Cricetulus griseus: one gene and its partners. The protein of the gene in region 1 interacts with the protein of each later gene in a pairwise test. Links are inferred from orthologs where the notes say so. Each region holds a gene or a part of one and is shown in the gene's direction. Other genes may lie near its edges. The genes, in order: Lmo1, Sox5, Ptpn3, Cby2 and Tfip11.

Evidence for each region.
Region 2: the proteins of Lmo1 (region 1) and Sox5 interact in binary tests that used the Homo sapiens proteins (3 or more experiments, as listed by UniProt). The two-hybrid records come from large-scale screens. The link is inferred for Cricetulus griseus from reciprocal best matches to the Homo sapiens genes LMO1 and SOX5.
Region 3: the proteins of Lmo1 (region 1) and Ptpn3 interact in binary tests that used the Homo sapiens proteins (3 or more experiments, as listed by UniProt). The two-hybrid records come from large-scale screens. The link is inferred for Cricetulus griseus from reciprocal best matches to the Homo sapiens genes LMO1 and PTPN3.
Region 4: the proteins of Lmo1 (region 1) and Cby2 interact in binary tests that used the Homo sapiens proteins (3 or more experiments, as listed by UniProt). The two-hybrid records come from large-scale screens. The link is inferred for Cricetulus griseus from reciprocal best matches to the Homo sapiens genes LMO1 and CBY2.
Region 5: the proteins of Lmo1 (region 1) and Tfip11 interact in binary tests that used the Homo sapiens proteins (3 or more experiments, as listed by UniProt). The two-hybrid records come from large-scale screens. The link is inferred for Cricetulus griseus from reciprocal best matches to the Homo sapiens genes LMO1 and TFIP11.

Annotation. Positions count from the first base shown.
Region 1 is NC_048596.1:91,610,986-91,617,060, forward strand, and holds the start of Lmo1 (rhombotin-1), read left to right. Parts: upstream 1-1,861; coding exon 1,862-1,877; intron 1,878-6,075. UniProt on the Homo sapiens protein: May be involved in gene regulation within neural lineage cells potentially by direct DNA binding or by binding to other transcription factors.
Region 2 is NC_048601.1:5,793,251-5,798,895, forward strand, and holds part of Sox5 (transcription factor SOX-5), read left to right. Parts: intron 1-932; coding exon 933-1,236; 3' UTR 1,237-5,645.
Region 3 is NC_048595.1:86,574,371-86,580,711, forward strand, and holds the start of Ptpn3 (tyrosine-protein phosphatase non-receptor type 3), read left to right. Parts: upstream 1-2,380; 5' UTR 2,381-2,993; intron 2,994-3,687; exon of another isoform or gene 3,688-3,808; intron 3,809-6,341.
Region 4 is NW_023276807.1:229,952,199-229,957,843, reverse strand, and holds the end of Cby2 (protein chibby homolog 2), read left to right. Parts: intron 1-2,496; coding exon 2,497-3,687; downstream 3,688-5,645.
Region 5 is NC_048597.1:91,998,556-92,004,784, forward strand, and holds the start of Tfip11 (tuftelin-interacting protein 11), read left to right. Parts: upstream 1-2,601; 5' UTR 2,602-2,731; intron 2,732-2,958; exon of another isoform or gene 2,959-3,159; intron 3,160-4,212; 5' UTR 4,213-4,426; intron 4,427-4,711; 5' UTR 4,712-4,720; coding exon 4,721-4,929; intron 4,930-6,229. UniProt on the Homo sapiens protein: Involved in pre-mRNA splicing, specifically in spliceosome disassembly during late-stage splicing events. Intron turnover seems to proceed through reactions in two lariat-intron associated complexes termed Intron Large (IL) and Intron Small (IS).

The DNA of each region.
Region 1 (6,075 bases):
TTGCTAGTCTAGAATCCATAGCGATCTCTCTAAACTGCTTCCCAGAAGGTTGGGCACTTCCCAGTTCTGCAGAGAAAAGCTGTAGTAGCCCCCAGAGTGTCAGCAGGAAACCCCAGCCCTATGCTCTGTCAACCAGTACTGAGAAATCCTCTGTCCTTTTTGTCCTGGTGACAAGGTGCAGGCCCCCTCCACTGTCCCTCTCATAGTAGCTAGCAGGTGCTGTGCTCTGTTGCTTCATGAAAGAAGCAAAGCCCAGCAGCTGGGTAAGCTGAGCCGGGCTGGAGGTTTCCCCTCTTTGTGCCTGGAGAACACATTTAAAACTTTGAATTCAAAATTGATTTTGAAGGGCCCTAATCTCTGCTCCCCTGATGCTCACGGTGTGTCTGCAGCTCCTGCCAGACTCTCGTTTTCTGGTTCAGCGCGTTGGTGCTCATGTCCCTGATGCTGTGAAATTGAGACTCGTCTGAGAGTCTGGGTCCTCCTCCTCCTCCTCCTCCATGAAGATTGCAGGCCTCTTGGGAGCCCCGTTTCATTAGATGGGTGATGCTGGCTTTGCAGGTGCCCAGGATGTAGCTGAGTCACCATCTGGGGAACACAGCTTCCACACACATCCTCCCTGGTCTCCCATAGATGTGTGGCTACAGGCAGCACATCTCTAAGGAGCATGGTGACTAGCCTCTGCATCCTGGGATGGGATTGAAAGACTCTAGACAGAAAAAGACTTGGGCCTGGTGTTTACCTACTGGAAATCCGACCCCAGGGGGGCATTACTTCCCATTGGGTGCTAAAGACTCAGCCCAGGCTATAAGAGGAAAATGGTCATATTAATACACCCAGAAGACCTTCCGATAAGAGCAATGGAAGCCAGGGCTGTGTGGAGCCAAAGGGTCCAGGACAGAACTGAGAGGAAAGGACTGAACTGTTAGCCTCCCATTGACCCCTGAACTCTATGGTGCTGCCTCCCATAGAGTCTGAGGGGGTCAGAGTGTTGTGTGTAAAGGAAATCATGGAGTAGAGCCCTGGGATTTACCTCTCAAAAATTTACTTCAAGAAAGCTAAGTCAGTAAAGTGCCTGCTGTTTGAGTACGAGGACCCAAGTTTGATCCCTGGTACCCATTAAAAACACTAAAATGCATGCATACAAACAAGGGGGAAAATTGCTTTGTGGCAGACAGGACTAAGTCCTGTCTCTTCTTTTTTCCTAGAGCCACAAGTGTCTTGGGCTCCGTGACAGGGGGCAGCAGTATGCCATCAAGGCCCCCCTCTCTGGGGCCCTGCCTGTATAAATCTACCCACTCCAGCCAGAGAGATGCTTGCCAGTAATATCTGGATAGCTGCCATTAAGTCTCTTCATTCATTTATTGAAGCGATGCTTAGGACTGCTGTCAGGTTCAGTGCTAGGAGAACAGCGGTAGATAAGACAGGGCCCCTTCCTAGAGGCTTCAATGCTTGGGAGAGAAGTCGTCATTTTCCCAGTAAATTCTCCAGAGGAAAACAGAGCAATGACCAGTTGCTTTTGAAAACTCAAAAGGAAATGACAGGCAGAGACGGGTGGTTTAAATAAGGAAGTAGGGGTGGAAAAGTCAGTCCCCTCTGTTGATATTTAAGTTCCAGGGTGGAAAGACAGGAACCCCTAGAGAATCAGGGAGAGCTGGAGTGTGGTGGAGCTCAACATGGAAGGGGGATATAGGGGCCAGACCACATGAAGCTGTTCCAGGCTACATGCAGAGCAAGTGTGCCATGCTCAGTGTGCCAGAAGCTATGGAAAGGTTCCAGCCTGGTTTATTTGGAAAGGTTTCTCCTACTGCAGAGTAAAGAATGGGTTGTAGAGCACTAGGCTTATGAGACCAATGCCCAAAATATGGTGAAAGATGAGAGTGGGGGGCTGGGGACGTTCCTCGGGGTAGAGTGTTTGATAAGCACATATAAAGCTCTGGGTTTGATGCCCAGCATTGCATAAACTGGGAAGGATGGTATATGCCTCTAATTCCATCACTCAGGAGATAGAGGCTCAGGAGGTAGAGGCAGAAGGATCAGAAGTTCAAGGTCATCCTTGGCTACATAGTGAGTTCCAGGCCACCCTGAGAGCCATGTGAGACCCTGGCTAAAAAAAAAAAAAAAAAAAAAAAGGCTCTGGAGATGGAAAGAAGCAGCTAGGATGGAGAGTAGTAGGACGTGTGTGTGTGTGTGTGTGTGTGTGTGTGTGTGTGTGTGTGTGTGTGTGTGTATGTATGGTGTTCCTGAGTTCCTCTGGGGACAGAGGATGGCCTGGGGTGATGGTGTAGGTACTGTGAAAGAAAGGTAGAGCAGGGCACAAAGGTAGAGAGGCCAGGTTTGGGTTGGCATTCAGAGCTCCTAGCTTAGACCTGTAGCTTTTAAGCTATGTCTGAGATTGCAGGGAAACCAAAACAAACAACAACAACAACAACAAAAACAAACAAAAACCAGACACCCATTCCTAACCCAGAGAGGGAAAAGCCACCTTGGATATCTGTGCCATTAACTTAAGCCTCCTTCCAGTTAGGGGTCTCCAGTGAGCATGCACAGCTTCCTGTATGGCCAGGTCCTGGTTAAAGGCCTACAGAAGACCTAGGAAAACTGTGGGAAGGTCAGCCCATGAGCTGCCACAGTCTTGGGTGTTTCTGCCTGCTGGCCTTTCTACAAGTTCTTAGCTGGTTCTTGGAATATATGTGTTTCCTCTGAATCTCTGAGCTTAATCCCTAGCTCCCCAGTAGTGTGTTGTTAGGAGCCGGGGCCCTTGAGGGCAGAACCTCATGAATGGGATTAGTATTTTCATGTGTGGGAGCCTAGAGAATTCCCCCACCCCTTCTGCTATGTGAAGTACAGCGAGAAAACAGCTGTCCATGAGCCTGGAAGCAGGCCCTTATCAGACAATGATTGGGCCAGTGCCTTGGTCTTGATCCTCCCAGGCCCTAGACTGGGAAAATGAATCTGTTGCTTACAGTCCACCAATCTGATGTTGTGTCAGAGGTGCCCCAGATAAAGACTTTCTGCAAGGCTGTTGTTTCATACTCCAGGCTGTGCAGCCTCCACTTTCTCCCATCCCTGACCTTAGCTTTTTCCATCTCTAGACACACCAAAGTCACAGAGGCTTCAGGGTTTAGATGCAAGATGCTAAGGACAGTTGGCCTCCTCCAAAGCTCACTGCAGAAGTGCTACTGCTTCTTAATACTCTACTGGAAATTGCTCTCCAAACTGCTGAACCTGAGTCAGTACTCAGCCCGCAAGCAGCCCATCATGATAGCTGTCCCTGGAATGTGCTCTGGAGCTTTCTTCCTTAGCAGGGTTCATATGGTCCAAGAAAAGTTCACTTTTCCCCGTTGTTTAGGAAAAAAGACAGTATGGCCACCCATGTTTCCAGCTGGGAATGGGTGCTTCCTGACAGTGACCAGTCTCCATGGCAACCTTGGTCACTCCTAGGATTGCCATGGGGCAAATGGCATGAGATTTCTAGGCACTGGCTCACAGTGAGTGAACCTGCAGCACTCAGGAAAGGGTGGTGTGGAGTGTTACCATCCATCTGTGTCGGGTGACCCTGGCAGCAGGTGCTAGGGATGCTGCCAGGCAGTCCTTTCTGGTGGGCGTGGCCTGTGGATTAGTCAGGAGTGCCTGCCAGAGTTTGAGGCTAGGACAAGCAAGAATTGTGGGATGGAGCGGGAAGAACACTCTGAGACATAGCAGGCAGGACACTTCAAAGAAACTGAAGGAGGCAAGGTTGCTTCCTGTGTCAGTGCCTGGTTAGATTTTCCCTCCCTAACCTGACCCAGTAAACACCATGCTGCAAATGGACTTTCAGAGGTCAGTAATGAGTGTGGACTAGATGACCATGGCCGTGGGTTCCAACAGTTGTTCTCCTTGGCTTTTGATTCCAAATGAGTAGGAAATGCTATTAGTTCAGGCCTCACCTGCCACGTGGCAGGGCCTGGGATAGGAGTGCAGCCAGACGAGAAATTGTGGAGATAAAACCCGTGTGAAATGGAAGCCTTCTCACAGGCTGCACGGGCCCGTGCAGAATAGAGTTACTTCTGAGAAAAAAACGAGATTGAGAGAGATGCATCAGAATTAGATTACACTTTCAAATTTCCTTGTGGAAGGGATTTGACGCCCAGGAGGGACACAGGCAGGCTCTGCTGGGGTGCTTCCCTTGAACTCCACATCTGGGATGGGCCCAGGTGGATGGCAAGAGCCCTTATCTATGAGGCCTCTGAGTCCTGCTGTCGGCAGCAGAGGTGGGAGGGGATGACAGGGCTGACTGCTGGAGGCTCTCATGCTCTACAAGGATTCAGGTGGCTTCTGCTTCCTTCTGTCTCTAAGGTGTCAGTTTTTGATCGAATCAGAGTCTGTTTTAAGAGTGATGGGCTACGGCAGCCCATGACTGTGTGCACCTGTGCTACAGTGTATGTTTATATCAGCACACCAACATGTGTATGGGCCCAGCCATGCATATGCACACTTACACGCATGAATGTGTTTTCGTGTGCGTTACTGAGAACCTGGTGTGTGTCAGTTCCAAGCTGGGCATTGATAGAACTGATGGAGAATAAAAACAGACACAGCCCCTTCTTGTGTGGCCCTTGTGGGCCTGTGCGATTCCATGCCTGTGGAGGAGAATTTGTGTGCTCTACTCATGTGTCCTGTGGCTGAGTACATCTTCACACCTTCTAGTGTCATCTCATCTTCACAAAGTCTCCTGTGTGAGTCTCCTTAGCACCTCATCATACAGCCCTGCAAAGGAACAGGGCTGACTTCCTCCTTGACATGCTCTCACTGACTACTGGACCAGCCTCTGGATGACACTGTTATCTGGCCAGAGCCAATGTGACTCTGACCACAGTGGCAAGTTCATATCCATTCTCTGCTCTGCAAAGGAAGTGCCTGTCCCTGGTATAGGGCACTGAAGTGGGGCTGTGACTGAACTTTCCAGTGTGTGGAGTCAATGACACACAACTAGCTTGACATTCAGGCTCAGCTAGTCCTCATGACTCCTGTATAACTCATGGGGGCTTTCTGAGACGAGTGTTCTTTTCTTCTTTTGGGTTTTGTTTTTGTTTTGCTTTTCAAAACAGGGTCTAACTACATAGTCCTGGCTGTCCCAGAACTCACTCAGTAGACCAGGATGGCTTCAGAGAAGAGATCCACCTGCCTCTGTCTCCCAAGTGCTGGGATTAAGGTGTGTGCCACCACCCAGCAGGAGTATTGTTTTCATACCCATTTTTACAAAGAGGGAAACTAAGGCCCAGAGTTAATGAAGGCTACAGGGAAAAGTATCAAATAAATCCAGATCAGGGATAATCTAGAAATAGTGGGCTTTTCTACCTCAGAAGTACTGATCTCTTCAGACACCTAGGAATTCCTCTAGGTTCAAGTGAATGAATGTCTTAGCTAGGATTACTGTTGCTGTGATGAAACACCATGACCAAGGCACCTTGAAGAGAAACAAGTTTATTTAGCTTACACTTCCACATCACTGTTAATTATTGAAGGAAGTCAGGACAGGAACTCCAACAGGGCAGGAACCCAGAGGCAGGAGCTGATGCAGAAGCCATGGAAGGGTGCTGCTTACTGGCTTGCTCATCAGGGCTTGCTCAGCCTGCTTTCTTATAGAACTCAGGACCAGCAGCCCAGGGATGGCACCACCACAAAGGGCTGTGCCCTCTTCCGTTAATCACTAATTAAGAAAGCACCCCACAGGCTTGCCTACAGCCCAGTCATATGGAGGCATTTCCTTAAATTGAGATGTCCTCCTCTCAGATGGTTCTAGCTCATGTCAAGTTGACATAAACCTAGCCATCACAATGGGGGAATGTGACAAGTGACCCAGGAGATTGCCATAAAAGATGTTGAGAGACCTGGTGAAATCTGAATGAGGGTGTGTAGATTGGAGAATAGGACTCCAGTGATAATTTCCTAGTATTGTGGCTGTTTTCACCCTTGTTTTCAGTAATGTATTTTACATACCAAGAGTGTCTTAGGGTCTAGAGACCTCATGTCTGAAACCAACTCTTAGATGATTTGTGGGGGAAAGTTATGCATGTGTAAGTAAAAGAAAGAGGA
Region 2 (5,645 bases), on another chromosome or scaffold:
GCACGGTGATGCTATATATGCCGCCTACAGCCGCACTGCAGAATTCTCAAGATACACAGGGGGGAAAAGTCACTCATGCTTGAAACAAGAAGATACAGAGAGCATAGATAGCAAAGACCACTCTGGGGATAGGCAGAAGGTGGCTGAATCATAAAAGGTAGCTGATCAGACCTGCCACACACCCTCCAGAGCCAGCATGCTCTGTGCAAGGCTCCAGGAGGCCACCTTTTCTGGAGCATATAGTAAGTAAATCTATCAATGAATGAAAGAAAGTAGGAAAATGAGCCCAGGTGAATGTCTAGGAAACCCAACCCACCAGTATCAGCTAAATTAATTTTTAAGGTCCACTGCAAAACCGAGAATCCCATGTTAAAAGGTTTTAAATAGTGGGAGAGTAGGACTTGGAAGTAAGTCTGGGACTATAGGCAATTTCCAGGGCGGTATGTCTATGAGGCTGGCTTTGCCTGAGGTCCCCAAAGGACTCACACCATTTCACACACTAGGTAGATAACATTACTTGATCATACTTTGGGGACCATAACGTTATTCTGAAAGTTCTCAATAGCTTAGAGATTTTTTTTTTCCATTGCACTGGAACTATCTCTAGGTTCCATTGTAGGAGAAACAAAAACTCCTTCCATCTGTCATAGTGAAGGCAAAGCGAACCAGGAGGCAAGCTCTTGGTTCTTGCTGAATCTTTCTGTGACAGATTTTTTTTTTAACCTAATAATAAAAAATCAGGATTATTTTAATTATCAAATGGCAATTCAGCTATATGCCTCCTAATCTATGAGGCACCATACAGGCAGGGGAGGCCCTAGAATCCACACGGGATGTCATTGAAGCGTGTTGGGTAAGCCGGATCCAGTTAGTGCTGAGCCAGAGGACAGCTGAGATCTCATGCGTATGCTCACCTTCTTTTTCTGTGACAGGCAACAAGCACAGATTCCCATCGCCACTGCTGGAGTTGTGTACCCTGGAGCCATCGCCATGGCGGGAATGCCATCCCCTCACCTGCCCTCAGAGCACTCGAGTGTGTCCAGCAGCCCAGAGCCCGGGATGCCCTTGATCCAGAGCACTTACAGCGTGAAGGGAGAGGAACCTCACATCAAAGAGGAGATCCAGGCAGAGGACATCAACGGAGAGATTTACGACGAGTATGACGAGGAAGAGGATGACCCAGATGTAGATTATGGGAGTGACAGCGAAAACCATATTGCAGGACAAGCCAACTGATAAGGGCCAACAGACTGTGGTGTGGTGAGCTGAGGACTTAAAGAAGCCCTAGCTGGTCCATCCTTACCAGTGGCCAAGCACATTAACTTTCTCATACACTGACTGTTATTTTAACTGTTAGTCTTAAATAGTTGGGACATCAGCTGACAAATAGACCTCAGCCTCAAAAGGCTCGGAAAGGAAACAATTTCCAAGCAGACAACATCAACAAGAGATTGAAATAAGCTATGGGTAAAACAAAGCCAGTAACTCAGCTGCTAGACCCCAGCACTGAAGTCTCACCCGTCAACTTTTTTTTTTTTTTAATAAACTTTATGGCTGTTTGTTCTATAACTAGAAATTCTCACTCAGGTACACAGTGCCAACAAGTGGCTTGTGAATGTGTTTTGTTGTTTTGTGCTACAATTTTTAAAAAAGAAATAAGTTTTGTTTTGTTTTGTTTGGGGGGGATGGTTCTGGGTTTTTCTTTTACCTTCTTTCTCTCTTTTTTTTTTTTAATCCTTTGTGATTGTTGTCTTGCACCTGACAGAAAGAGGGAGATGGGCACTTGGGTCCCTCTGCCCTGTCTCTCTTCTGCTTTAAAGATGGGGTCCCGTGTGTGAGGGTGGGGGGGAGAGAGGAAAAAGAGAGCCTGTTTTTGCCTTCCTTGGTTCTATACCACACAATCAGCAATCATTTCCTTTGGAGACCTCTTACTCTTGCACACAACACTACATCTTTAAGCAAGTGCCAAATCCATACTGAAGCGATCACCAAGTTCATTTTCTACCCCTTCCTTACTCCTGCTCCTTCTTAAGTTGGGACAGTGTTAAACCTTAGACAGTCCCTGGAAAGAGCTGATACACCAGCAACTGGTGAGATTGATTTTTTTGTAATGGAAACTGTAGGTGCCGTTCTCAGGTGAAAAGAGAGAGAGAGAGAGACATAGAAATTTAGAGGAAAAATATTTTCTGATCTTGGATTTCTGTGTGTGTATGTGTGTGATTATGGTACATTAGATACATTCCTATTAGGGAATAATGTTGGGCCATTGAAAGCAAAACCCACATGTGGGAACGGAATCCCACCTCTCCTAAGCAAGTGGTCTAGAATAGCAACCTTGACCTTGACCTTGACCTTGACTTTGCACTTCTAGTGACAATGGAACTAAACGTAGGGCTCAGAAATTCTATTTTTCAGTGTCAAGAATGTTTCTTATTGGGTGGACCTGGTGGCCCTGTGTCATGGACATGTGCTTGGCAAACATGGAAGCTACCAACCAAATGCTTCCTGAGGTCCCTTTCTTCCTGGACAATTTGCTTCTTCTAATGTTTGCTACTTAGTGGTGTGTGTGTGTGTGTGTGTGTGTGTGTGTGTGTGTGTGTGTGTGTGTGTGTGTGTGTGTGTGTTTCCTGTTGAAACTTTGAGTAAAACAATCATTGTTTTGACTGAATATATTTGGCCATTTTTCAGAGATACAGAATTAGGGTGTGTCTCCCCCATTCCATCTTTTCCCAATTGGGAAACAGAACTGGTAGTTCTGTAGGATTTTCGTTTCATCTCTCCATGCAATGAGGTCAGAGGCTGCATTTCACAAACGGGGGCCATGTGTATGCCCTTCCATAAGAACTAGGATTTGGTTACAGTTCACTGTAGCACACAAAGGGGAGGCTGGCCGAGCACAGACCCTTACTACTGTATGGTCCTTCACGGTAATTTGAGTCTGCTAAAGATCAATTGCTCCTGCCAGCAGACTCCTTGCTGGGACTAACAGCCAATGGTGACAGGACTCGTGATACAGATGTCACCAACCAAAGGGCCAAGGCAGGGGTGGGGCCTGGAGAAACAAACACAGAGTCACTTCAGGTCACTCACCATGGTTAGTGTTTAGTATCAGTCAGTCAGCACTGTAGCCAGTGGCCTGGATGGATATGTTACACTGTAGCCAGTGGCCTGGAAATGTTACAGTATTCAATCCCTTTTTCAAATTGCCCCACCAAACACTGCCCTTAAGTTTGATTTTCCCCCCCGGCACAACTAAGCAAAAACAACAAAAAAAAGTAAAGAAGAAAAATCCTTTTTGTTTTTCTCTCTCTCAAAAGTCTTGCTCTGGGGTTTTGCTTGGAGGAGCTGATCATACCTGCATGTCAGAGGTTTGGTTCTGTTTTCTGTTTGTGGTTTGTTTGTTGTTTTTATTTTTTTAATGACTGTATTTTCCTTTGAATTGCCTCTTTTTGCTAGTGTTGTAAAATGATGATAAAATAATAATAATAATAATAGTAATAATAATAATAATAATAACAGTCAGCTGTTCCCAGATTAGTAAATTATGTATAATTTATTTTATTTCTCCCTTTCTATTTTATTCTGCTCTGATTTGGAAGTACAGCCAGTAAGCTGTTAGGTATTTAAAGTTAATTTCTCTTTCCAGCTCTTACACACATGTACACACATACATGTATGTGTGCATATGATACACATATACTCATCCACACACTTGCTTCTCCATCCATAACTTCCTCTGTGTTAACAGTCTTGGCCCCGGTAGTGTCAGTTCTGGTGTTTAATATGAAGGGGTGAATTAGTAGGAGGGTTGTGTTCAATCTTAATTAACTTATGTTCTTTTCTCTCATTTTAGTTATTTAATTACCAATTATCTAGAGCCAATTTTTTGTTTTTGTTTATTTTGTTTTGAAGCACTCTGAATAAGAGAAAAAAATAGACACTTGTTTTTATACCATTATAACATACAATGTGAAAACAGATTTATTAAAAAAAAATGTTTCTCTGTGTCTGTTAACAAACCCTCCTGACTGATGTGGGTTTTCCATTTAAGTGTGCTGGGTTCTGATCTCACAGCACATTCTAGACAAGCCTGCTTTTCCTTTCTTGACCTTGGGCAACAAGAATACTTTGTTTTAGCTCCAGGTAGATGCTACTGAAGGCATCCATGGCCAAAACCCATTCCGACACAGTGCTATCTGAGCAGGCTCTCTCTTTGGTCGGCATTTGTTTTATTTGAAGGGAAACAAATTGTTCATGGTGACTTGTAGCAGCCGAAACTCTCCAGTTTAGTTGAGTTTTATGTCTATGATTGAACTGTGCCCAGAGAAAACCACAAAGCAAGTCCATAATATGTCCTGTCATAGTCTGTCCTGACATTTTCTTCAGTGGATGTTGAGTTTGCTTTGCCCAAGAGTTTTCCCTGGGGGACAACAAAAATAAAGGTAATTCTATTCATGTCTAAAGTGCACTGAAGTCACTTAGGGGAAAAAAAAAAAGGTGCTTTTAATAGCAACTGTGTTAACACTTTGCCCTTTGGGCCCTTGATTGGATGATGATTTTTGTAAAGGATCCTAAAACCTTATATTCTTTTGTGTGCCACACAATGACCAAATAAGATACGGTAAAGGAAATAAGACACAACAAAAAGATCAAAGGTAGCAAACTGAATACCACCTTCCTCTCCCCTGCCTATCTGATCAAGCCACGCCCCCACCCTCCTTCCTTTCCCCTGCCTGTCTGTTCAAGCCACGCCCCCACCTCCTTCCTCTCTGGTCTGTTCAAGCCACACCCCATCTCCCCTCATCATCCCTGCCTTTATAACACCACCGAAAAATAATACTGCCAGTTTCTCCCTTTTATATTTGTAATTGGTACCTCTTAAAATAGTCCAGTTTGATATAAATCTAAGAAAAATATTCACCAGAAAAGAAGTGGGTTAAGGTTGTTAGTAAGTTAATGATAATTTGGTTAGTTACTACAATCAGGAGAAACACACACACACACACTAGTGTATTTTTGCTCAGATTAATCAAATGAACTTTAAAAGTTCATTTGGTATCTAGCTAAGAATTACCTTTGTGTAAAACACCTCCCAATAAACATAGTTATCATGGTTGAAGCCAAATTTTCCCATAGGGAATGAATATTAAGGTGTAAAGTGTTGTTTAATGAGGTCACTTCATATATTTGATTTCTGAAGTACAGTCACCTTAGTTCACATAAAGGAAGTTATCTCTACCATTTTATGGCCCCTCTCTAGATATTTTCTTAATGCACAAGCTGATACTGTTCTCAGAGGAATCCTCTTCTATCTCATTTAAAAACATAAGAAAGAATTAGACTTTCCTTACTCTAAAGGGTAAATTATTGAATTGTAATAACTGTATATTTACAAACAGGTTTATAAAATATTTGTCTATCAAGTTAATAGTGAAGTAAAACTTTAGGAGGTCTGAAAGAAAAAAAAAAAAACCACAAAACCCACTTAAAGTGGCTGAGCTCTCTCTGTCTTGTAGGGCACAGGCATTTATTTAGCCAGGTTTATACAGTATTTAATTTTGAAGTTCTGCAGGTTCAAGGTGATGCGTGTTTAGTTTCCTACTGACGGCCCCCCGTCTGCCCCAGTGTGTCTGTCGCTGGTCCAC
Region 3 (6,341 bases), on another chromosome or scaffold:
CAGGGACATCATCTATCTACATAAATCCCTTTGGGCCTGGCCTCATTCTCTGGGGCTCAGAACAGTCCTATTCACTACTGGGCGTTATTTGCTTTAGAGTTAGCCGTGAAGATTACATGTCCATCCAAAAGTCCCATTCACAAAAGAAGGGACATGTACACTATAAAATCACTTGTCATTGAGGCTAATAACATCACGCCAATCCAGCCACATCGGATTAAAAGGCGGGGCTTGACTATTTTGGCCCCAAGAACAAAACAGTAACAGTAGACCAGAATGTTAAAAGTAATCTGCAGCCTAAAAAATACATCAAACTAGGGGGGGAAAGGCACACAAAGGGCAGAATAAAATGACAGTCTCCTTTACTCATCAATCAATGGCTAGCTCCTTTATATAAGGCAACAGACCATAAAACCTGACACCCCGCTATGAGGTCAATGGGCTTGCCTTCAAATCCTCCCCAGTGTGTGTCACCAACTGTGAACCCATCCCTGTCCCCAGCTGTGAACCCACCCCTGTAATTGTTTTCAGTGAAACTGAGATAAAAACAAACCAAACCACCTACTGTAAAGATTGAAGAATTCATGGAAAACATTGGCCACATTTGAACTTAATCATGGATGTGTGTGTTATTTACTTGGGGGAAGGTTTTTGAGACAGGGTCTCTCTATAGAGCACTGGCTATACTGGAACTTGCTAGCCAAGCTGGCCTAGAACTCACAGAGATCTGCCTGCCTCTGCTTCCAGTGCTGGGATTAAAGATATGTGTCACCATGTCCAGGTCTTTAAGTGTTTACTATCACACACACAACATTAAGACATTAATTAACTTTAAAAACCAAACAAAACAAAACATAGAAGCCCTGGCTGTCCTGGAACTTGCTTTGTAGATCAGGCTGGCCTCAAACTCACAGAGACCTGATGGCCTCTGCCTCCTGAGTGCTGGGATTAAAGGTCTGCAACACCACTCCTGGCTTCAAAATTCTATTATTTGCATTCTTAGTGGTGTGTCCATGCCACCTTTTCACAATTTGTTGCTTTCAATATTTTCATTTGTTGTTTCCTGTTGTTGCATAGTGATAGAAATAGTTTAAGTTATAATTTTATTTGTTTATTGTGTGTATGTATGCATGTGCATGCACATGGAGATCAGAGCATAACTTGCTTGCAGGAGTCAGTCTTCCACCAGGTGGGGCTTGGGGATTGACTGATCTCAGGTCAGTTTGTCTGCAAGTGCCCTTACCCACTGAACCATATCAAGGACCCGAGAGATCTAGTTGTAATTATTTCAGTGAATGGATCTGAACACAATCAATCATTACCCTCCCTTTGAGCATCTGCTTTGTTCCAGTTGGGGAGGAGGATTCTTTTATTTCTTTTATTATGTTCCTGGTTCTGTTATGGTGATTTGAAATACGAATTTAAAAAAAAATCTTGCTTGTTGGTGGTAGCACATGCCTTTAATTCCAGCACCTGGGAGATAGAGACAGGTGGAAGATCGAGGCCAGCCTGGTCTACAGAGAGAGTTCCAGGACAGCCAAGGATACACAGAGAAACCCTGTCTCGAAAAACAAAACAAAAAATTAATAATAATCTTTAGGGATTTAAGGTTCACAGCTATTTTCTAGCTCGAATCTGAGACCATTGCTTAAGCAATGATGAGCAGAGAAAAGGTAACGGTTTTACTCCAGCAACTTTAAACTGGACAGCGCTAAGAATTCTCCAGGCCTCATCTTAGCAGTCCGTGTTACGAGAGGATGGCATAATTGAGATAGGCACTTCCGAAACGAATATTGGGGTAAGGCTTCTAGTGGTAGAGATTCGTGCTTATGGTGTGCAAAGCCCTGGATTCAAGCCTCAGCAAGGGGTAAATATTTAAAGTGGACTGAATAAATTCACGTCCTTTTTTATTTTATTTTATTTTTCCAATCCCCACACGCCCCCGAATCCAAGCGTAGGCATTTGTATTATTTAGGGCACAGAGAGCGCAAGGCTCTGGTAGCAGATCACACAGCAGCTGGTAGAGGACAGAGTGTGCAGTCAGCTGACTCTGAATGGTCTTCCCACCATGCTTGGGGGAGGAAGGTTACCCAGCACTCCCTGCCCGGAGGCAGAAGGCTGAGCCTGAGATGACCAGGTGGGACTCGGTGTGCAGCCTCACCAACCCCTCCAGGGGGTTTTTCCTTCCGGACGCTGGGCGCCCCAGGCTCCGAGCATGCCCAGTGCTCTCCCTGCCGGTCCGAATGGTGCTGCCACGGCGCTGTGGCTCCAGGTTTTGCGTACGATCCTAGGCGGGGCCAAGGCAGTGCAGCCCCCGGGACTCCCGGCTCTGTCGGAATTCCCCGGACGCGACGCTCCCGCGGCTCCCGCAGCGGTGCACTACCTTGGGACCGGGACCGGGATCTAAACCAGTAAACCAGGCACGGTCGAGGGTCTCATGGTGCCTAGGGGACAAAAGGTTCTCGGGACATCCGACTATAGGGGTCCTACCCACCTCTACATCCTCCGGTTAGCAATCTTCATTCAACAAAAACGTTTTTAGTTTGTGCCAAGAGTTGTTTAGAGGTTAGGTCTCTTGAGAGGCGGAGCTACCGAACTGACACTGAAGGGAGGTACTCCTTACGGGGGACCCAAGCCAAGAGAGACAGCCAGTAACCGACCCCGTTTGTCCCTGTGCCCTCTTTCCCGTGCCGTAGGCACAACACCTGCGCTCCTTGTTTTGGCACTGACTTTTCCGTCCTAGGAAAGCTTCCTCGTTTAGCTGCGTGACTGAATGGTATTTGTCACCTGATCCGGCTGTTCCACCAACTCTCATCAGGCCACCCCCCTAGCCTTCTTGCCCAGCTCTCTCCCCCACCATCCCCACCCCGTTCTTAAGAATTTATCACCTCATACACTGCGTTGTTTGCGGACCTGTTGTTTGTTGCGAGAGACTCCCTTCCAAACTCCCAGCAAGGGGCAGAAATTTTGTCTATTTATTAAATGTGAAGAACGTAAGTAATTGTTGAATGGATACGTGATACTTGCTTGGAAGGCGATAACGGACGTGGAGAGTGGCCAAGAGGTCAGGGCTAGTTTAGAAAGGTAGCCAGAAAGGCCTCTCCTACGGAAGATACCTGTACGGTGAGAGGGCGCCGGGCACCAGCTAAGTTGGGGAAAAGACGTCCTACCCCGAGGGAAAGGCAGCGCAAACGTCCCGAGGCGAGTCAAGTTCAGAGGGTGTGATGAAGAGGAAGGTGCACTCAGAGCGCAGGAAGGCAGGTGTGGGAGGAGGCGGAAGAGGCAGGCAGGAACGCCCTCCAGCTAGGGCCCCTGCTGGCCTTGGGACAGGCTAACCTGTTTGGCGTCCTAGGACCAGCAAAGGACTGTGCTGGAGTGTCAGCGAGATCCCCAACTCAGCCACGGAGCCCGGTGCAAGCTCGCTGTCATTTCAAAGATTCATTGAGCGCCAAGTCCTTGCCATTCCTAGGCATGCAATCCCGGAAAGTCAGGCACACAGTAGGTGTTCAATAAATGCTTAAGGTATGAACGGCAGCGAACGTGAGCCGGGGTCTCGGAGGTCCGCGGGATGTCGGCAGGTGGCCCGCGAAGGGCATGGCAGCGTGCCCCAAGCCTGCCCCGGGCCCGCCCCTGTCCCGGGTCCCCCGCCCCGCGCGCGGGCCCGTCGCGGCCACAGCCGGGCCGGCGGGAGCCGCCCGCGGGCTGCACTGGGCATGCTCAGACGGCGGCCAGGTCGCGGCGCGAGCGAGCTTCCGCGCCGCCCGTCCGCGCGACCTACCTGGGCGCCCCGCGCCCCCGGATGCTGCAGGTATGGGCGGCTGGGACCTCCGCGGGGTGGGCCGGGGCGCTGGCTGCGGAGATCAGGGACTCGCGGGGCGCCACCCCACCCCCACCCGGCCCGGGGCGCGGCGGACATGCGGGAGGACTAGCGGGAGGGCTGGCAGCCCCGGGTCCCCCGCGCCACGTCGGGCATCTTGGGGGGGCGCTCAGGCCCGGATCACCTGGCGGGGCTGGGGCGGGGCGCGAGCGGGGACGGCGCAGGGCTGGGCGTTCAGGACACGGCGGCGCGGGCGTGGGCGTGCGCTCCAGTCTGGTTGAGCCCTGGGCCCGGCGCCGCGATATAGTCAGCCTCGCCGAGGGGGCGCACGGCCGCGGGGATCCATCCGTCCGCGGCCCCCGAGGCTCGCCCCCCAAATTGGGGGGGCGCAGTTCGCCTCCCAGTTGCAAAGATGGCATTTCCTGGGCCTGGCACGAACTCCAGAGCTAATCCAATCCGCCCCGTTCCGCGGGCGACCGGGTGGCTTCTCTGTTAACTTGCGGTGACATTGCTGCGTTGTGCGGAGAGAGAACCGGAAACCCTCGCCCCCGGTTGCTGCCACCCAAACTTATTACGAACTTGAGGGTTGCCTTTAAAAAATTCATGGGAAGTTAAGACAACTTGGCACCTGGTGTTCCATGAAGGTGCAGGGAGCTTGTGGTTAGGAAACGCGAGACCTGGGTTCAAGTTGGGCTCTTTACCTTGGCCAGTTGGTGACCTTGGACGAGTAGTTTAACCTCCCTGATCCTCCATTTCCTCCCTTGCATGCAGGCAGTAATAATGCCCACCTCGCCTGGTTGGTGGTGGATTAAGTAGGATAAATGATGTGGAGGTGTTTGGCTCTGTGCCCGGCACAAAGCAAGCGAGCAGTTGGCGTGATGTGATTTTAATTCAGTTAGAGACCCTCGTGGCTCCCATTTCGTCAGGAAATTAGAATTAGGCAAGCATTTTCGGAGCCTGTGTTTGTGCCCCGGAGAAGGTCTGCTGAGGCTTTGGAAAAGCAACTGAACAGAACGGTGGGGAGCAGAGAGCCTCTTGTTTAAAGGCAGTCTGGAGTTAAGAAACTCCAGAAGTTGACACTTGGTCCCCACTTGCAGAAAGAACTGTTTCTGCAAGATGACCCGCCTTGCAAATGAGTTGGAAAGCCTGTCTGGGAAGATGCCGATGCTGCAGAGCTCCCATGCCTAACCTTAAGTACTTGGATCAAGGTTTGTCGGCATCTCACAGTGGGTTTGTGTCTTCTTTGCGGTGGGTGCCCCTTGTGCATTATAGGGTGCAAAGCAGCCTCCCTGGTATTTGCTCAATTGGTTCTTGCTGCAGCCCTTTCCATGTGCCAACCAGAAATGCCACCATGTATTGTCTGGGTTGACGTGTCTCCCCTTTCAGTAGAATTAGTTGTGATACGCTCTGCTTTTTGTCTAGCCTAGGCTATCTGAGAATTTCATCTGGGGCTTTTTATGATAATAACGAACCTTTGCAGTTAGTTACCTCGTAGAGTTGTGCAGTGTGTATGAACATCTCGTTTAGGTTTTACAGTTCTCCCTGAGAGGGTGGTGTCACTCCCATTTTATAGAGGAGGAAATTGAGGCTCTGAGCGGGCACCTGTAATTGTCCTGATTGTAACTGGGATGGAGGAACCCAAGGCTTCTGGTTCCAGGGACAGGGCTTTTTCTTCTGGATAAGACTGTCATGTGTGGCTAGACCTCACATAGATGTCTTTCCTGACGATTAAATCAAGATCTGGACTGTATTGGAAACTGGAAGCCTTCCTGAGATTGCCTAGTTGAAAATTAACAACAGTAAGCTATTATCTGACAGGGAGTAGGCCATTCTAGTTAAATATTCTAGTGTATGAGCACTCCCATAAATCCCCACATACAGTTAATGGAATACCAATCTGCCGAGAATTAGAATGGAATAAAAACGTGCCTAATACTCTATATTGATCTGGGTTGTCTCTGGTGATTTGTCTTCTCCTCCAAAGACTAGTGTATGCAAATTAGACATGAGTGGCAGACGGGAGGTCAGGTTGCTGAGGGCATTTGGAAGAGATGAGGTGAGCCTTTGAACAGATGTTTCTGTTTGGCAGCTGCAGGGCTATGGGTAGGGAAGCAAGGTGAATAGGCCAAGGGACCCCCCCAGCCTGGAATCTTGGTGCACTTCCCTGCAACTCAGGCCAGATCTTAGTGTGTGTGGCTCTTGGCTCCCAGCTTACCTACGAGCTAAATTCAAGATCCCAGCTTGAAGCCCTCATTTTACCTGACTGATCTCATAGCAAAGGTATGATAGCTTTTAATATGCTTGCTGAGGTCTCAACTCCATGCCAGAGAGACAAGGTCATAGGCAAATCTTATCCCAGGAAGAAGTTTGAGTTTTAGGTTGATATTCGGTCTCAGTCCTAGGGTAGTAGGTAATTGCTCTTAGTTTTTATTGGCTGGAAGTTTAATTATAGTGTTATGCCCCACTCCCTACCCCCACCAACACACATACATATGTGAGCTAGCAAAGACTGAGTGAGACCAGA
Region 4 (5,645 bases), on another chromosome or scaffold:
GCTCCCCTTCCACAACTTCATTCCCTGAAAGAGCCAACTTTGTTCTTTTTCACACACTGTTCTCCATCTCTATGGGAGAACATGTCCCAAAGACCAAGAAGAGACATTCCTTCATTGACTGAATCTCCTAGGATCAGTAGAACCCCTTCATGATGTTCCAAATACAGATAGAAATCTTGTCAAGACCCAGGTCATCAAACAGATTAGATCAGCCAATGGAAGAAATCTGGGAATATCATTGACCTGGCCCAAGACCCCTACGGAGAAGGGCAGGACTCTTGAGTGCCAGTTAAAGGAGACTGGGGTCTTGAATCTACATGTATTTGCTCAGCTTTGTTGCTTACATTTTGGCAGAGCCTTTTGTAAAGCAATACATTCAGATTTCATAGTAGTTTAGAACAGGAGTTTCCAAATATTACCAGTGGGACTCTCTTTTTGTGTGACATCTTGTCTACCACTTGTTCTCTTATGAACCTAGGAAGCAGGCACAGCAGCCATGAGCAGGCTCATTTTTAGAGGTGATGGAGAAACAAGAACTTCTCAATGGGACTGAGTCATGGAAGTTTTGAGATCAAGGCTCCTGGGGCTTTGGATTCTAGGTTCAAGATGATGAAATGGCTGCTGTCCTGGCTTCATTTCTGTTGCAGTGATGAAATGTCCCCAATATGAACATCTTAGGGGAAAAAGGGTTTATCTGATTTACAGGTTACATCCCATCACTGAAAGGAAGTCAAGAAGTTGAGACTACTAGTTACACCCACAGACAAGAGCAGAGGGACGCTAATTGCATGCACTTTCCTAGTATTTAGCTTATTTTCTCCACTCTTACATAGTCTAGGACCCAAACCCAGGGTATGGCACTACACACTGTGGGCTGGATCTTCCCACATCAAGTAACCCAATTTAGAAAAAACAAAAAACAAAAACAAAAACCTCGAAAATAAAAGAAAAAGAAAATCCCTCACAGGTATTTCACAGGACAGCCCAATCCAGATAAGTCTTCATTGAGAATCCCCCACCTAGATTGTGATTCTAGATTGTGTTAAGTCATGACTGAAACCACTCATCATGGATGTTCAGTATGGTGTATGCAGGAAGCAGCCTTTAAAGGGGTGGCTTTTAGATTTTGGGATATTTCAATATATAGATGGAGACAGAAGGAAGGGAGGTTTCTCAGGGAATGGAGCCCATGCAAAAACATTAAATCCATATGATATGTAGATATCATATACAACTCATAATAATTTTATGCACTATTTTAGTGCACCTGTTTCTTTGCATGAAGGCAGGTGTAGGATTTTTCACTTGTGACATCATGTGGATGCTCACAAAGATACATATTTTGGAGCACTTTGGAACTGAGATTCTCCAGGTTAGGGATGTTCCAGGTAAGCTAAAATAATATTTCAATTGCCAGTGTTGTGAGAATTAAGTGAATTATATAGGTCAAATGCAACCACATAGCCAGCTTGGCAGCCTGCAGATGCCTGCAGCTGCAGCTCTGAGGGACCTGACACCCTCCTCAAGGAGGTGTAGTCATCCCAAGCTAAAATTTTAGAAACTGAAATTCATACAACTTGCCCAAATTCTTATAACTGATAAGTAACAGGACTGAAGTTGAAGAGGAAAAAATGTTTGACTTTAAAATCCATGCCTTTAATTTCTAACATATGATTGGATCTTATTATCTGTGGGTTTTCATTTTTTTGAGACAGGGTCTTTCTCTATGCAGTCCTGGTTTGCCTGGAACATGCTATGTAGAGCAGGATGGCCTTGAAGTTCTGATTACATTCCTATCTGCACTGCCTCCATATAACGGGGTTAACAGGCCTGTGCAAGGCATAGCTCATTATTCATAGACTTTATAGTTATGAATTTATAGACCTTTGACTATCACGGCATTAGTGCCCATAGAATACTTGTGGTCATTCTTGGATCTGTAGAGAGTCTGTGGGAGTGTACACCCAAGAACTGGCCTCCAGGCACCCCTTGTTTGAACTCTCATCCTGGAAAATAGTGTCCTGTTTGCAGTTTATATACCACTACATTTTCTGAAACCTGTGCTTCCTATTGGTGGTTTCCTTGCTTAAAGTGGCATCTACAAACCCTGTTAAAGACTGTTCCTAATTACAGTGTGCCTGTGCTGTGCCTCCCGGAGCAAGCTTGTTAGATAAGCTCTGCTCAGGCCGGGTGCACCCACTGCCAATCTACAGATCCGTGAGGGTGTCTTTAAACAGAAACAAGGATCAATTACCAGAATTTTTATGACCAGAACCTTATAGGAACCTAGCCCAGCATCTCCCCTAGGAACCATGGTTCAGTATTCATTAATTCAAGAAGAAAGGTATTCAGAATAACAAAGGCTGGCTGTATTTCCTTGTGAGGATGCTCGGAGGTCAGGTGCGGGGTGTGTGGGGGGGTCCTCTGGGCCTCTTAGTCTACCAGCAAGCAGTCCTTTACTAGTTCCTGTAACAGTTTCCTTGCTCTCTCCCACAGAGGGGCACCACTGAGCCCTTCCTGAGGTTGCACAACCTGTACAGTATTCCTCGCTGCTCCAGGCAGACTGCCTTGCCCCGAATGAGTCGCAGGGTAGTCAGCCAGCATTCCTACCCACTCAACCGCTTCTCCTCTGTGCCCTTTGACCCCATGGAGCGCCCCACCTCCCAAGCTGACCTGGAACTGGACTACAACCCTCCCAGGGTGCAGCTCAGCGACGAGATGTTTGTCTTCCAGGATGGGCGCTGGGTGAACGAGAACTGCCGCCTGCAGTCGCCTTACTTCTCTCCGTCCTCCTCTTTCCATCATAAGCTGCACCACAAGAGGCTGGCCAAGGAGCACCTGCTGCAGGAGGAGAACAAGTCTCTACGGGATGAGAACCGGGCCCTGAGGGATGAGAACAAGGCCCTCCGCAAGGAGAACAAGATACTACAGATCTTTTGGGAAGAGCACAAGGTCACTTTGGGCCATGAGGAGAACCCATCCTCCTCACCACTGATGCACAAGGACACAGCCTCCCAAGAAGTGGTGAAAAAAGACAATGTCACCTTGCCTGTCCAGCGTAGCAAGGAGAACACCCTGCAGCTCATTCGAGAGGAGAATCGGGCCCTTCAGCAGCTGCTGGAGCAGAGACAGGCCTATTGGGCCCAGGCAGAAGACAATGCAACTTCTGCCGAGGAGGGCAAGCCCACCTCCTCACCCAAGGAGGAGCCCCATAACCCTGGGCTTCTGCCAGAACAGAGTCCAGGCCTCTCCTCCCCATTTGAGGAGCACAAGGGGCCGCCTCCAACACAGGAGGACTCTAAGACACTGCGTGCCCTGAGGGAGATGGTTAACAACTTATCTGGACCATCTGGGGAGGAGGAGGGCAAAGTAGGCCCCAACCTATCTGACAGCGCTCAACCTCTGCAGCTGCTGAGAGAGATGAACCAGGCCCTGCAGGCCCTGCGAGAGGAGAATAGGCTGCTGCAGGAGGAGAACCGGGCTCTGCACGTCCTGCGTGAGGAGCATCGAGTCTTCCAGGAGGAGAACAAGGCCCTGTGGGAGAACAACAAGTTGAAGCTGCAGCAACGGCTGGTCATTGACACGGTGACTGAAGTTACAGCCCGTATGGAGATGCTTATTGAGGAGCTGTATGCCTTCATGCCGGCCAAGAACAGTAAAGATCCCAAGAAGCCCAGTAGGGTCTGAGGCCTTCTCAGCTGACATAGACACAGATCAAGCACAGCACAGGAGGCCAGAGAGAATCCCCAGCCTCCCTATGTCTTCCTCACCTTTGTCACCCCCAGTGCATGCCTGTGGAACAGCAGAGAAAGGGCCATCCTACACCCAGAGACACACAATAAAGGCAGAGGAGGCTGGGCCAGCCGACACCAGTGTGGAGTTTTGGCTTCTTGTCATCTGTCTTCATTACTCTTTTAACTTCCCACTTCCTCTTCTGCTTCCTGTCCTCCTCTTTCCTCCTCCTCCCTCACCAACCTTCTTGTCCAACCCCCCTTCCTCCTCGTCCAACCCCTATGCCTTTTCTCCCCCTCTATAGACTTAGCTGGGTATGGTGGTACATTTCTGCATTCTTAGGATTCAGGAGACTGAGGCAGGAGGATTGTGAATTTAAGGCTCTAGCTAGGCTACCATAGTAAAAGAGGAAGGGGCTGAGGTCAGGCACGTGACATGGGGTGATAGACGATGACTTTAGTCTTTAGAGCAAAACTGAGCTGAAAGTCAAAGTTCCTGTAGACCTCTGCCCATACTCATCAACGTCCCCTACTAAGATCTATAAGAATTGATGAATCTACATTGACTCATTATTAGCATGTAAAGTCCACAGTTTGTTAGGATTCTCTGGCTGAGTTCCTTAGACCTTGAGCCAGGAACCGTAACCCACCCCTCTCCTGGAGGTCCTGGCATGTTGGGAGTCTCAGTATCCTTAGAACCCTATATGGTGGGCATTCTCATCTCTAAGACATGAGAACAGGAATTCTAAGACAGTCACCAACTGACAGGTAGGAAAAGCCAAGTGGGGACTCGTACCGCAGACCAAGTCAGGCTCCTCCATGGCACTCACTGCTGGTTTCCTAGTCTCTAAGCATTAAAGGTGTTTTTGGTATCTGTTTTCCAGATTTAAGAACTTGACAAGTCTCACCCCCAGAGCAGCATCAGAAATCCCAGAGGAGGGGGGACAATATGAGAGGTTTTCCTCTCACTAGTCAGTGGCACATTTGCTCTGCACCCAGGGTAGACAGTGACGGATGTACAGGAGGAGGCTAGTCATTTATTCTACTAATGTCACCTGAATCTGAAAAATGTGTACTGGCTGTTGATGGTCCTCTGGGCCTTAGTAGTTTTTCCTTCTCTGTTTGTTCAATTAATTCATCATTCAGGGGACCATAAATATCAAACCTGTTTAAGTCAGGGTACTAACCCCAGGGTGTGTGTGTGTGTGTCGGGGTGTGTTACTTTTGTGTTTTGATGAAACCATATCGATTCTGTTATGCTGCACAACGGGAAGACAAAAGACACACTCTTCTAAGGTTTGTGTTCCCAGTATTTAACTTGGGTTAATCTACATAACAGCGGTTAAATGTTGTCTCATGAGTTGACAGTGCTCAGGGAACTTAATACTATTTAGCCATGTCAACTTTCTCTGTTGGGCAGAATCTAAATGGATGAAAAAAAAAAAAAAGCCAGACAAGCCATAAGTTGCCATTTTTATGGTGTGGGGGAGATTTATTTCACAACATTGCTTCATTGTATAGCACAGAGCAATCTGTCAGATTGCCAGCACTCTAGTGGAATCTAACTTATAGTGGAACAGTGAGAAAGTTCACTTTTTTAAATTTTTACTTAATTTTTTTTTAATTTTATGTGCATTGGTGTTTTGCCTGCATGTAGATCTATGTGAGAATGTCATATCTTGGAGTTATGGACAGTTGTAAGTTGCCATGTGGTTGCTGGAAATTGAACTCGGGTCCTCTGGAAGAACAGTCAGTGCTCTTAACCACTGAGCTATCCCTCTAGCCCCTTACTGTTCACTCTTATAGGTATGCCTCTAGTCTAACACTAGGCCCTTGAGAATAGCTGAAAGCTTTCTCTTGGCAAGGTAGATCTTAGAACTGAGCCTCAAGCTTTGCATTTGGAGAGGTAAACAT
Region 5 (6,229 bases), on another chromosome or scaffold:
TAAAGGCGTGTGCCACCACAGCCCACCATAAAATTATTTTCATTGCTACTTCGTAACTGTAATTTGCTGTTATGAATCATAATGTAAGTATTTGGGGGGAGATAGAGGTTTGCCAAAGGGGTCGTGACCCAGAGGTTGAGAACTGTTAGTCTATGTTTTACCGATGCTTTTGTTTCCCCTACTTAAGGGTTAATCCAGTGGGGCAGGTTGAGGACCTGCTTGGTGATGCACGTGCAGGCTCGTCTTAGAATAATGTAAATTTCCACCCAGGTTCAGTTGGGTCTTTCTGACTTCTGACTCAGAAAACCTTTTTCTTTTTGTTTCTTTTTTTTTTTCTTTTTTTCTTTCATTTTTGGAGACAAGACCTCATTATTTAGCCCTGGAACTTGCTATCTAGGACAAGTCTCACTGAGATCCAATATCCTGTACTTTTACCCAGAGTGTTGGAATTAAGGGTGTGTGCAATCATGCCTGGCACATTTCTTCTTTTGTCTTTTCCTTTTGGATTCTGGACAGAGCCCAAGTGTGAGAAGGTTTTTGTTTTGTTTTATCAAAGATGGCTATCTTGCCTAAGGGTCAGTATTCCATAACTCTCCTTAGTTTGTGAAACTCTTGTAGTATACGTCCAAGCCTCAGATGCCAAACATTTCTGAGACTTTTCATCACAGGCTTTCCCTTTGTGAGTATTATGGAGTAGCAATCATGTCAAATTGAGGTTGAGCTCCTACCAACCGGGTGAGACACAGACACACCTTTGCCAGAATAGAAATGAAGTCAGCTTGTGGCTTAGGTGTGCTTGCCTGCCTGGCTGGGTTACTTTCACTTTGTCACTTGCAAGAATATTCTTCCCCAACATAAGTGTACTTTTAATTTCCATGCACTGGGATTCCTTGCATATTCTCTGAAGGCCCCCCCTCCCCCGCCATGTGACTGACCTCTATGCCGGTTTATCTTATGACAAGGCTTTCCCCTTCTCCATTCTCCTCCCCCAGGCAGTTTCTAGATCTCCAGCTTGTTTGCCCTGTTTTTTTTTTTTTCTTTAAATTTGCACTTTGGGCATCTAGACTTACCCTCCAATACCCCCTCATGCCATGTGGCTGACCTCCAAACTGGCTATCTCAAATGGCATCATGCCTTTCCTTTTCCTCCATTCTCCTCTGGGCAGCTGTGAGAGTTACAGTTTGCTCGACCTTTGAAGGGTTGCCCTCTAGCCTTCGTTTTTATCTGTTCTTAAATTCTTTCATGGACTATAATCCCCAAGAAGGGACCCTGACTTCACCAGTTAACATGGTGACATTGACAGATGCCCAAAGCGCTTCACTAATACATCTTTCCGGTGCGTTTTAAGTTAGGTTTCATAGTTGTAACGACCATGATCAAAAGCAACTTGGGGAGGAAAGAGTTTATAGGTTACAGTTCACTAAGGAAAAACAAGATGGAAATTGAAAGCAAGAACTGAGGTAGAAGCCATGGAGGAACACTGCTTATTGGCTCGCTCCCCAAGCTCAACCAGGACCATCAAAGCAGGGGTGGCACCACCCACAATGTCTGGTCTCTCCTACATCAATCATTAACCAGGTTAATGACCCCACGGGATTGCCTAACAGGCCATCCCAGACAACTCTTGTGTGTGTGAAGCTGACAGGGAAAACCAACCAGCCAAACAAACAAACAAACAAAAAACAACTAAAAACCCCACCAGGACGTGAGAGAAAACTAACTTTTTCTTTAACCCTAGATGGCATCAGACTATAACCCGGAGAAGCGTAAGATGAAATATGCTTTTGCTTGGCGGTGGTGGCACACGCCTTTAATCCCAGCACTCTGGAAGCAGAGGCAGACCAGCGAGTTCAAAGCGAGTTCCAGGACAGCCAGGGCTACACAGTGGAACCCTGTCTTGAAAAACCAAACCCAAACTAATCCAAGCAAAAACCCCGCCCCGCTTCCCCTTAGTTGTTTATCACAGCAAGAGAAATAACTGGAGCGGAGAGGAAAATAATAAAACTTCTTCCTGGAGAGAACGCTTGTGCACGCCTTCCGCCCATTCATGCCTTAAACTTTTGTGGGCCCAGGCTGGCTTGTCCTAAAAGAGCCAAGAAGGAGGCACCTGGGTGCAGAAATCTGCTGTCTTAGTGTCAGTCTGTTTCAGGAGAAAACAGGAATAGGGACTGGCAAAGGAAAACGGGTTTATTTACAGCCTGGCCAGACTGCCTGGAGATAAGTTCTTAGGCTCCTTTACCTTTCCTGTTTACAGCAAAGAGGAAACAAAAGCCCGGAAGTGTGCATGATGATTGCTCTGCAGCGAGGGGATCGGAACGGAGAAATCTCTCCTAGGAAGCCCCTCGCTTTCCCTTCTCGCGACAGGGAGTGCCGAGGGCGTTTTAATTACTCAGGGTCCGCGTGACATTGGTTCAGGTAGTCCGGACCCGGCTGTTCCCATCCGCGAGGGGGGGGGTTCCCGGAACCATTCCTACGCTCCCTTGGACACCGGTCAATGGCGTTCCATTGGCCGGATGTCTACTCCGCCTCAGTTCCGGTGGAAACCGGAAGCAGTGCGGGCGGGATCTCTAGTCCTTCCGGCACGCAGACCCTCCCCCCTCTAGTGGCAAGTCACCGCCTAGTGACGTCATTCCGGTGCGCCGGCAGGGCTACATCCGGGTTTCGGCTGGCGGGCTCCTCGCAGGCTCTCGTAGGCTGGAGAAAGCTGTGTGGCTGGCAAACGCCGAGCGAGGTGAGCGGCGGGGTCGGGGTGGCGTCCTGGGAGCACGGGCTGAGCCTCTGCGGCGGCCCCATGGCCTCCCTGCGCCCGGGTCTCCAGCCATGGGCTGCGGCGGGGCCGGGACCAGATGAGGCGCTGGGAGCCGCCAGCGTCCCGATGCTGACACTGGATAGCCAGCCCCGGGCGCGCTCGTGTTGTGAGCAGCACCTGACCGCTGTGAAATTTTTTTTTTTTTGTAGCAGTTCTGTGCTGGGGAGGCGACGGTGTTGTAATCCGATTGGTCCAGGGCTCCCTGCCTCCTTTGAGAACTTTGCGAGCAAAGTGCACTCGTAGCTCAGGTTGGAACCTGTTGATGTTAACGGTGCATAATGAGGAGGAGCAGGGACACATTTGTTAATGGCTAAGCAGTCCCACCCTGCTAGAGAAGCCCAGATCTCGCTGTACGTAAGGAAGACCGCTGTCAGTCGATGGCGTCACACACTGAGGACGTTAGTGTGCTGTGTACCACGCTAGCGTTTTTGTGTGTGATATCCACGCATGTGATAACCACGCACAGAGGCGCTGGTAGAGGGGGGCTTTGAACTCAGGCTGTGTGGTTTAAGTGTTCCTGATTTTCACAATCCTCCCTACCTCCCTCCGTCCCTACACAGGGTCTCTCTGTGTAGCCTTGGCTGTCCTGGAACTCGCTGTGTAGACCAGGCTGGTTTCTAATTCACAGATCCGCCTGCTTCTGCCTCTCCAGCCTGAAGAGGATACTGTTTTTGGTTTTTGTTTTGGTTTTTTCGAGACAGGGTTTCTCTGTGGCTTTGGAGGCTGTCCTGGAACTGCCTCTTGTAGACCTGGCTGGTCTTGAACTCACAGAGATCCGCCTGCCTCTGCCTCCTGAGTGCTGGGATTAAAGGTGTGCGCCACCACTGCCCGGCGAGGATGCTGTTTTTAAAGCACCTATTGGGAGCTCAGCTTTTGTTATTTTGTTTGTTTTGAGACCAGGTCTCACTGTGTGGCCCCGACCAGCCTGGTATTCACTATGTAGACCAAGCTGGCTTTGAATTTACAGAGTAGACCTACCTGCCTCTGCCTCCTGAGTGAGGCGGTGGGGTGGGAGGTTGAGGAGGGGGATTGTGGAGTAGGTGTTGAGGAAGTTTTCTTTCTTTCTCTCTCTCTCTCTCTCTCTCTCTCTCTCTCTCTCTCTTTTTTTTTTTTTTTTTTTTGGTTTTTCAAGACAGGGTTTCTCTGTGTAGCTTTGGAGCCTATCCTGGCACTGGCACTTGCTCTGTAGACCAGGCTGGCCTAGAACTCACAGAGATCCGCCTGCCTCTGCCTCCCGAGTGCTAGGATTAAAGGCGTGCACCACCAACTCCTGGCAGGAGTTCTCTTTTCTAAAGTGCCACTTTAATCAGTCCTTCTAAAACCGACTGTAGTCACTGATACAATTACCGAGATGGCCAAACAGATTCCTGGGTAGAACAGTTTGTTTATCCCACACCCTCTAGGTGCCGCTGTGTAGTGTCATTCATAAAGACCTCAGCCTTCCAGTACCTCAGAAGCCACTCAGGTTTGAAAGAAAAAACCCGAGTGTTACACTGGTCATTCAATCTCATGAAACAGTATTTCAGAAGACATTCAGAAGTTTCCCTGGGACTCCCAGTTGGCTTGATATAACTCTTGGAGAACTGAAGAGGCTGAGGTGCCCACTCAGTTTCTGAGGTAATAACATAGAACTATTACTTCCTTCCTGTGGCACTTATGGGTGATGTTTGACTCTGACAAGGCCAAGGCAGAATGGGTTCTTAGACCTGTATGGACTGCTGGGACTGACTTCTCTCACTTGTCCCAGAGCTGGCCACTTTGTCCTGTGTTTAATGGCTACTTTATTGACTGGTAGCATGAGGCTAATGGGCTTTCCTTTGGAAGAAACAGGAGTAGAGATTCCTGGGCATCTTCTGTTGGCCCCAGGGTTTCACATTGCTCTTCTTGTCCCCCTTCCTCTAGTGACCAGCCATGTCACTGTCCCACCTGTACCGGGACGGGGAAGGTCATCTGGACGATGATGATGATGAGCGTGAGAACTTTGAGATCACTGATTGGGATCTCCAGAATGAGTTCAACCCCAACCGGCAGCGTCACTGGCAGACCAAGGAGGAGGCCACTTATGGGGTATGGGCTGAACATGACTCCGATGAAGAGAGGCCCAGCTTTGGAGGCAAACGGTACTGTCTGCTGAGCTGCATGCCCTGGCTTTAGAGGATCGGAGAGGCACCCCAAAAGAGTTTTCTGGCCTATCAAGTCCTATAGCTACAGCATCTTGCTGTGTGTTGTTGACCTGGGGTGGCAGGTTCTTCCTCAGCACTTACTGTGACGAATACAGCTACTTAGGGATAGACGAGTGCTAACCAACCACAGGCTTGGTAGCTTTGGAACCATGCCCTGGTCAAGGAGCATTCTCACAGGTCCTAAAGGATAGGGAGGTTAGGGAAGGTCACCCTGTAGAATACAGTTGGCTGAAATGAAGGTAGAGAGTGATTAGGGCCACAAGATAAGTGTGGTAGGACAGCCTGTGCTACACAGTAAGACACTGTCTCACAAGAAAAGAAAAATGCATGTGTCCCCACACTTAACTACACTCAGAATTTTTTATTAATTTTACTTAGGATCCCCCCGAGACAGGGAGTCTTTGTGTGGCCCTGGCTGTCCTACCACTGCCTCTGCCTCCTGAATGGCAGGGATTAAAGGTGTGTGCCACCACTGCCCAGCTAAGATTCTTATCTATCAGAATTTTTCTGCTCCTGTTTGATTTTTACACTTGAAATGGTATCTAAAACAAATGGTGTGTTGTGTGTTGCTGGGAATTGGACCTAGGGCCACATGCATGCTAGGTGAGTGCTTTACCACTCTAAAAGCTAAAAACATTCTTTTCAATTGTAAAGGGGGGGGGGCAGTGGGATGGCTCAGCAAGTAAAGCTGCTTACCACTGCCACACAAGCCTGGCTATCGGAGTTCTATCACCAGATCCTACATAAGAAGTGAAAAGGAAGACCCACCCCACAAAGTTGCCCTCTGACCTTCACATGCTTGCGAGGCACATGTGCCCTCATCGTGCACATTTTTAAAAGTGTCAAAGGGAGGGCTGGAGAGATGGCTCAGAGGTTAAGAGCACTGGCTGCTCTTCCAAAGGTCCTGAGTTCAATTCCCAGCAAGCATATGGTGGCTCACAACCATCCAAAATGAGATCTGGCGCCTTCTTCTGGTCTGCAGGGACACATGCAGACAGAACACTGTATACATAATAAATAAATAAATAAATAAATCTTTAAAAAAAAAAAAGGTGTCAAAGGTAGTGGGGCAGTGGTGGCACACACCTTTAATCCCAGCACTCAGGAGGCAGAGACAGGAGGATCTCTGTGAGTTCAAGACCAGCCTGCTCTACAAGCGCTAATTCCAGGACAGCCTCCAAAGTCACAGAGACACCCTGTCTCGAAAAACCAAAAGTAAAAAAAAAAAGTGTCAAAG